Linked DNA regions of Tribolium castaneum. The protein of the gene in region 1 purifies or fractionates together with the protein of each later gene. This does not show direct contact. Links are inferred from orthologs where the notes say so. Each region holds a gene or a part of one and is shown on either strand. Other genes may lie near its edges. The genes, in order: eIF6 and protein BCCIP homolog.

Region 1 (4,492 bases):
TTACTTTGAATGTTTGCATTCATTCAATAAATTGATTGAATTAAAATTTTGCATTAATTAAGAAAATTTGGGGCCAGTAATTCGAATTAGTTTAATAATTCAAAATTAAATTTCAATTTTCTTTTTTGTAAATCTGACTGACTCAAGAATTCAAGCCTTATTGTATACCGTTTTTTCATCTTTTTTAGATGAGGGGTCTTTGGGGCACTCAAAAAGGGGTTTAATTCGTGTATAGAAATAAAACATAGAAAAATACGAAAAAATTGTTTATTAAATTATTGATATACATATTTGCAACATTTCAAAAACTGAGAATAGTGCGTATCACATGAATTTTTTTATATCATTACTCTGTTTGAAACGGACATAATAAAGTGAAGAATCATCTTTAATTTACGACATGCTGGAAAAAAATAAATGTAATAAGAACAAAAATAATTTTGTTTTAATTGAAAACCTTTCAATGATACTAGCCCTCATTTTTGATGTGATTGAAGAAGGTGCAGCTCCACTCAGTTTAAACACTGACTCAATTACTGACAACTCAGTGGAAGTTGTATCCATACCAGCAAACGCAGTCCAGTCATTTACAACCAAACCGGCACCAACCACTTCACTACCTCTGTTTACTGTTCCAGCCTGTTAAAAAAATAAATTTAAAACATAATTTCATGAGTCTTAATAATAAACATATAGCCAAGAGTGCCGCCAAGATATCATAAAATTTAAATTTAAATCACTGCTTGGATTTTTTCTCTTCGTAACAAATTACGAGAAAATTAATTATCCAAACCAAAGAAACAACGAATTCAATCATAATAGGCAAAAGATAATCCAATGTTCGTTTTTCTAAAAGGTGTTCAAAAAAAAACAGAAATCTTTATCCTGTTGTAAATTATTTTTTTAATTTTTAAAGGCATTAAAGCAAATTTTAAATAGTATGTTAAGAAAAAAAGTTACACTGCATGAGTGTCAATGACTCAATAATTCTATCGATTCTCTCATTTGCGAAATTTCACAAAATAATATGGTTTTCAAACGATGAATCCGTCATTTTCGAACCAAATTAATTATTTTTCAATTTAGAAAAATTTCTCTACAAAAATGTTGAGCTTACATACTCAAGAAGCAATAAATAACACAATTTTCGATACAATTCGGTTTTTTTGTCAAAATTTATAAGCTCTGAAAAAAATATACATTCCGACCAATTTTTTTACGAAATTTCAAGAAATTCATGTTGAGTAAAAATTTACAAAAAAATGTACCATTTTCGAACAATTTTGGTCAGTTCAGATGATTAATTAATGTAATTTTAGACCACTTTTGACTCAATTTAGTGATTTTCCAACCCAGTTTCTCCAAAAAAATCTTAAGTAACATCACTGTCGACACAATTTTTGTCCAGTTTTCGCAAATTAATTGTGTGTCTCGAAGAAAACGTACTTCGAAACGCATATAAAACACAGAATAGCATCAATTTCGGCTCCATTCGTTCACTTTTTGGTCTAAATGTCATTTTGAAGCCAATTTAGTGATTTTTCGGAACGGTTTAGCAAAAAAAAAACAACAAAATTATCTCAAAAACGTGGTGAAACTACCAAAAGATAAAACTATTCTCTTTGTTTTTATTTGGTTTGTAGTAACTGCACAAGGTAGAGTAACCAACAATGAAAAAAACGTAAACGCAAGAAATGTAAACAATAAAAAAATAAACATAAAACACCATATACATTAAAAAAATCAATCTACGAATATAAACAACCTGCAAAAGCATATTATGTACTAATAATTTTTTATAATATTTTTTGTGCATCCATACTTGCAACAATAATTAACTACTTAATTTTTTTGTTTATTGATATATTCTAGTAATTAAATAAAAAATATTATAATATTTGGTATTCATTCTGATTTATTGTTTTACCATTTGCCTTGATCGCCTTCTACAATTTAACAACACAAAAGTGAATATTTATTACACTTTTATGCATTTATTAATTATTTATGTTCAAAGTCATTAATCTTTACTCGTTTTGCAGCTTCTCATCCGACTTAAATAAAATACCAGTAAATTCTTTATTTTTCCCAGAAAGTATGAAATTTTCAGAGCACACAAAAACCACGATACAATGCAACTCACCACCAACGGCACTTGTAAAAGAGACGACAACTCCTCAAGATCCACAACACTTGTATTAGGGTGAACCAAGCCCCCTTGATTACTCAAAACACAATACGAGCCCACCAAAACATTGTTAGCCACTGTTTGCCTAAAAACTTCCACTTTCAAAGTATCTGCGATAATTTCCTCGGTTTCCTGCAATAAATTATTGCACAACTTTTGTTAACAAATTTGTTTTGTAAACCATACCCTATCCAAATCTGGATGTACAAGGGCAACATAGTCATTACAAGCTATAACATTGCCTAAAGCCGACAATCTCTCCTCCACACGCTGAACTTTAACTGAGTCAGGAAGCGCATTCCTAATGTGTTGCAATTCAGTATCAAAGGTTGTGTTTGGAACCAACAAACCGTTCTTATTTCCGACACACATTCGTCCTATTATTCTGCATCCTGCCAAGGACGCATGCACCACGGGTATCGTATCAGCAAAATCGCCCTCAAATGTGCTAAAATATTCAATTTAACACGACACCAAACCATGCTGTCCCAACAATTACCTGTAGAAATTTTCGGACCCGCCAATTGCAACCAAACAATATGCGTTAGTTAATTTGGCAAAAACACCAATTTCGTTGTTATTTTCAAACTGGACACGGAATGCCATCGTGCAATACAACACTTTTTCTACAAATTAATAAACGGGAAATGTGCTTAACCTCAAAAAAAACTAGAAATTTTCGTTGCGCACTGTTGGCGTGAATCGTTAAAGTTACCAAATCAAGCCGACAAAAAACCAAAAGTTACTAACCGACTAGCTTTTTGCCGCTCCAAGGTGAGCATCACTAACCTCAATTTTCCGATAATTTCGCTATATTTTAATAAAAAATTGTGCAAGTAATGGCCGGTAAACGACGTCGCCCTAGCACAACCGAAGCCGGAGCCACCAAGCCCAAGCGCGCGAAGTGTACGCCCTTGTAAACATGTACCCACCATAACCTAAAATTCTCATTCTAGTCACTTTAGACAGCGTGAAATTACCAGAGACTACTCGTGAAGGGGTTCTGCTTGTTACGGGAGCCGGCGACTGCGGCCAATTGGGTTTGGGGCCCGATGTGTTGGAGAAAAGTAGGCCCGCGCTAGTGCAAACAAGTGATGAAATTGTCGATATTTGCGCTGGGGGTATGCACACGGTTTGCTTGACCAAAGAAGGCAAAGTAATGCGGTTGCGATTGGGTTGAGTCGGTTTGCTTTATGTTGGTTCTAGATTTTGAGTTTTGGGTGTAATGACGAGGGGGCACTTGGACGTATCACGGAGGGCAAGGAGGATGCGGAATCCACTCCTGGCGAGGTTGAGTTGCCTGGGAAAGTTATACAGATTACGGCGGGGGATTCACATTCGGCTGCGTTACTGGACGATGGGAGGGTGTTTGCATGGGGGACATTTCGTGTAAGTAAGATTTAATAATCAAGATTTAAATTTTTTTTCTTGCAATTTTGGGACTCGTTTAAAGATTTTTAAATGAGAATCCCGGGTTAAAGTACTTTTTCTTTGTAAACTTGAGATGTGAAAGAACAGATTTTCAAAAAATTAAAATATGTATAGCTCAAATAACAACTTGGGACGAATGGTTTTGTTTAACTGTACTAGCAAAAAATATGCTCAACATAATAGGCGTGGTAACATATTTATTTTAAAAAAAATGTATTGTTCTAACAAAAAATAGTACCGGTTGAGAACCTCACAAATTCCGCTAGAATATACTCGTAGTTATTCAAAAAAAAAACTTCAAATAGTACTTATAATCTTGGGAATTTTTTATGACCACGTCACATATTTATTGCTTATACTGATTTTTTTAAATATTGTTTTAGATAAAGTGATTGGGCTAACTTTATCTCTACTTTGACTATTATTTAATATTTAAATCTATATTGCTTTTCCATTTCAAAAAATCTCAAAGCATCGACCATTTTGAGAATTTCTCTAAATTCTACTTTCGTGTAAAAAAAATTAATGTAGTTTTTTACATTTCACGCCCATACCATGAAAATTTGGGATAACATTAAAGCATCAAATTGAAGCGTGTTAGAACCTCTATCATTTGAAATATATTTTTTTTCTTTTGGGCAACTAGCAGTGTTTATTTTTTCACTGAAACTAAAACATGTAATATAATAATTAATTTACTTTTATGAAATACAGTATGAATTTGTAAGGCCCTAGTTATGTAAATATTTTAAGTGGTGATAGTAGAGCTCAAAATGAATCGAAACAAACCTTCGTTTTGCTTGTGAGCAAGTGGAATTTATCTAAATTGTATTTTATGTGCTTAAATAATCAGTTTCGACGAAATTAGCATTT
Region 2 (3,026 bases), on another chromosome or scaffold:
TCCACCTAAGCATTATTGATCATTAGTGGCATTTATTTTTTTTATTTTAAGTGAAACTAAGTCTAAATACTAGAAGGCGAAGCAAAATTTTGTTTTAAATTAATTTAATTGCTTTGAAGAAAAGCAGGGAAGTTGGGGATCAAATTAATAAGCTAAGAAAAGTGTACTACGATTTTTACGAAAAATAGTTATTTAAATTTGCGTTCTGAGCTGCGAATACGGTTGAAGGTTTCAGCATATCTTTATCTTGAAAGGTTTATGATTCGTTTAATTTTTTACCAGTGGTTGAGTGCTAAACCAATTCAAACCTTCTCGGTTTAGTTAATTTTCTAGAACTTTGTCCCTTATTTTTTGTATTCAACTGTATTTGACTTGTGTTCACTGTCTTTGTTTATTTTTCTTACTCTAAAACATAGCTGTACTATGTGGCGTTGTGTCGCACCCTAGTTAGTATTTAAGTGTGTGTATTTCATGTAATAGTATTTCATTATAGAAAATATACACTTTGCTTTTAAAAAAAATTATTCTTAGCCTAGTTTGACACAAAATTTTGTATTTCGCTTATAATACTTGGAAGTTTGTCCGCTTTAAACAAAATGATTACTCTGTGTGGAATCAACTCTTTATCTTCACTTTGCCAATTCCCCGTCAGTCCTGTGTCACTTTTTCCGGCCACACTGTATTCAAACCTACAGTCAGCTTTCTTCCAGAAGATTTCTTCTTCATCATTTGAGAAGACGATTTCACTACCGTCGCTTTTGGACTTCCAGTTTTTACAAATCATTAAATAGTAATCAAACTTATAGCCGTCATTCTTCTTCCCCATTCTGTGTATTTCATCTTGTAATGCGTGTAGCATAGGAAGGGAGATTTTTGATGGTATGTTAACAAACCGCTCATTGATAATAAAACCAATTTTGTTTGAATTGTTTCCCACAATTTCTTTAAATAACGATTTAGCTTCAGGATCCGCCTGTTTCGTAACCTCATCATCAACTAACTTGTACAGTTGTTGAACACATGGTGTCTCCTGAAAACCCCCTATTATCCCCAGGTTGCAAAATAAACACAACCACCTTGTGTTGCGTTAGATTGATAACACTGGTGATACCAAACACATCAGACTCCTCCACCATCTCAATATCTTCCTCGTCGTCGCTATCGTTAAAACTTTGCTTCAAAACAGATCCAATTCCAGCCTGAGAAATAAGCATGTCACTCATTTGGCCCAAATCAACATGTGCAGTTAAAAATAACTGATTCAGTAACTGTTTAATGCCGTGAAAATCTTGGCCTTCGGGGTTTCGGCCTTCAAAAGTCGCTTGGATTTCCTACAAGAGCACGTGTCATAAGTATAACCCCAAAAACTGTACCCACTTGTTGGCCATGGTAACTCCCGGACTCGTCACTTTGATATTCCTCATCAGAGGCGGGTTTCGCGACCTTTCGCGACTTTTTCGAAGCCCCAGCCATGTTTTGAACTTATTTGCACTAAAAACTCAACTCTCAAGCCAACCGGTTTGTATTCCTAGGTTAGGGAATTGTCAAATCTCAAACAAGTGTCAGGGATTACAGTGGACCAGTACAAAAATCTAGTTTGGCAAAATAAAATCTGAAAAAAGATGAAGTTTAATTTAATATCAATTGATAGCTATTGGAATAATTATTTAAATTATTAAGGATTTAAAATTGCATTTTTAATCTTCACAATTGGGAAATCCCGGGAAAGCCGCAAAAAATGTATTTTTTTTTCAGTAAACAATCAGTTATTGGCAATACTGGGAAAAAGATAAAGTTTTAAACATAAATTACTGCTAACAACTTTGTCATTCTTTCACGAACCAAAAAATTATCATAATTATAGGCAATGAGCAAGTAACATTATTGTGGACAAAAAATTGTTATGTAACCTTATAGACACACTAAACATGTATATGTGATAAAACCCGCGTGAAAAAAAATTTAACTAAAAATATTCGACTTTTTTGAAATGTTGGAAGAATATTTTGAAAATTTGGTCGGCTGGACGAGTCCATTATCCCAGAGGGGTGGAAAGTGCTGCAAAGCGAGTGCGATAACCGCAAGAACATCCCCAAAGTCCTTTTTGTGCAAACTTCTGGTGATTTACTTGAAGATTATGTGTGATTGCCTTTTGTAAATCGCGAAATGAATTAATTTCGCCAAAAATATCTTTGCGCTGCGCGCACAGTGCATCCAACCGGGCACGTCAAATTCCCCAAAGCCAATGTGATGTGAGTGAGTTGTTGTGGACGCAATTTGTGAATTTCGCGGAAAACTCCGTATTGTTTTTCTCGGGAAAATGCTGAGAAAAGCTGAGTTCGATTTGTGGTTGTGCACTTAGATGAGTATCTGGTGCGCAATAATTTTCGGAGTTTTTATGCGTCCCCATCAGCCATAACAATGGAACTTGGTGACCATGTTTATGCCGCCGAAAGGATTATAAAAAAACGAGTCCGTCGGGTGAGTTTTCATCCTTGAAAATGATTATCCTTTTCGGGTTGTTTGGTGGGGGAAATGGGGGCTCCCGGCGGAGCTAACCTCGAATTTCCATCGACAGTTTGCGATGGGTTTGTTGATAAGGTTTGTGACTCAAGGGGTATTTCCTTACATAATTGGGGTTTCCTGTCACCCCTTCCGGTCTAAGACGTGAGTCACGGCTGAGGAGCTTCGGGGAGGAAGTCGTGGGGTTAATTAGGACGCCGTTTTCGGTTTTTTTCAATAAAAGTTGTCAAGAAATGGGGGTTGGGGCTGTAAGTCGTCATTATTGTTGCCAAGTGCCACATGTTGAGGAAGTTATGGTATAATAGACGAAACGGGTTTGACGATTGACTGACAATAAAAGCTTTACAAGCTTATTATTACGGTTTGGAGTCAATAAAGTAATCCAAGGTCGTAATTTATAATTTATGAACTGGTCGAAATGTCTGCAGATGTTCACTAATTTCTTGAAAAATGGTTAATCAACTTGGGGGCTTTGATATAGAGTTGTGCTAATTTGGAGTAAT

The links.
Region 2: the proteins of eIF6 (region 1) and protein BCCIP homolog purify together in Homo sapiens (affinity purification with mass spectrometry; 3 studies listed by BioGRID and IntAct, counting the BioPlex papers as one, with this or other methods). This does not show direct contact. The link is inferred for Tribolium castaneum from reciprocal best matches to the Homo sapiens genes EIF6 and BCCIP.

Annotation. Positions count from the first base shown.
Region 1 is NC_087394.1:11,178,680-11,183,171, reverse strand, and holds eIF6 (eukaryotic translation initiation factor 6), read right to left. Parts: upstream 2,829-4,492; 5' UTR 2,795-2,828; coding exon 2,688-2,794; intron 2,637-2,687; coding exon 2,375-2,636; intron 2,321-2,374; coding exon 2,144-2,320; intron 640-2,143; coding exon 458-639; intron 404-457; coding exon 394-403; 3' UTR 254-393; downstream 1-253. Other genes in the region: Rcc1 (regulator of chromosome condensation), read left to right, coding at 3,028-3,094, 3,145-3,344, 3,395-3,577. UniProt on the Homo sapiens protein: Binds to the 60S ribosomal subunit and prevents its association with the 40S ribosomal subunit to form the 80S initiation complex in the cytoplasm. Behaves as a stimulatory translation initiation factor downstream insulin/growth factors.
Region 2 is NC_087395.1:14,256,503-14,259,528, forward strand, and holds protein BCCIP homolog, read right to left. Parts: upstream 1,564-3,026; 5' UTR 1,474-1,563; coding exon 1,378-1,473; intron 1,332-1,377; coding exon 1,077-1,331; intron 1,031-1,076; coding exon 533-1,030; 3' UTR 505-532; downstream 1-504. Other genes in the region: polycomb group protein Pc, read left to right, coding at 2,422-2,481. UniProt on the Homo sapiens protein: During interphase, required for microtubule organizing and anchoring activities. During mitosis, required for the organization and stabilization of the spindle pole.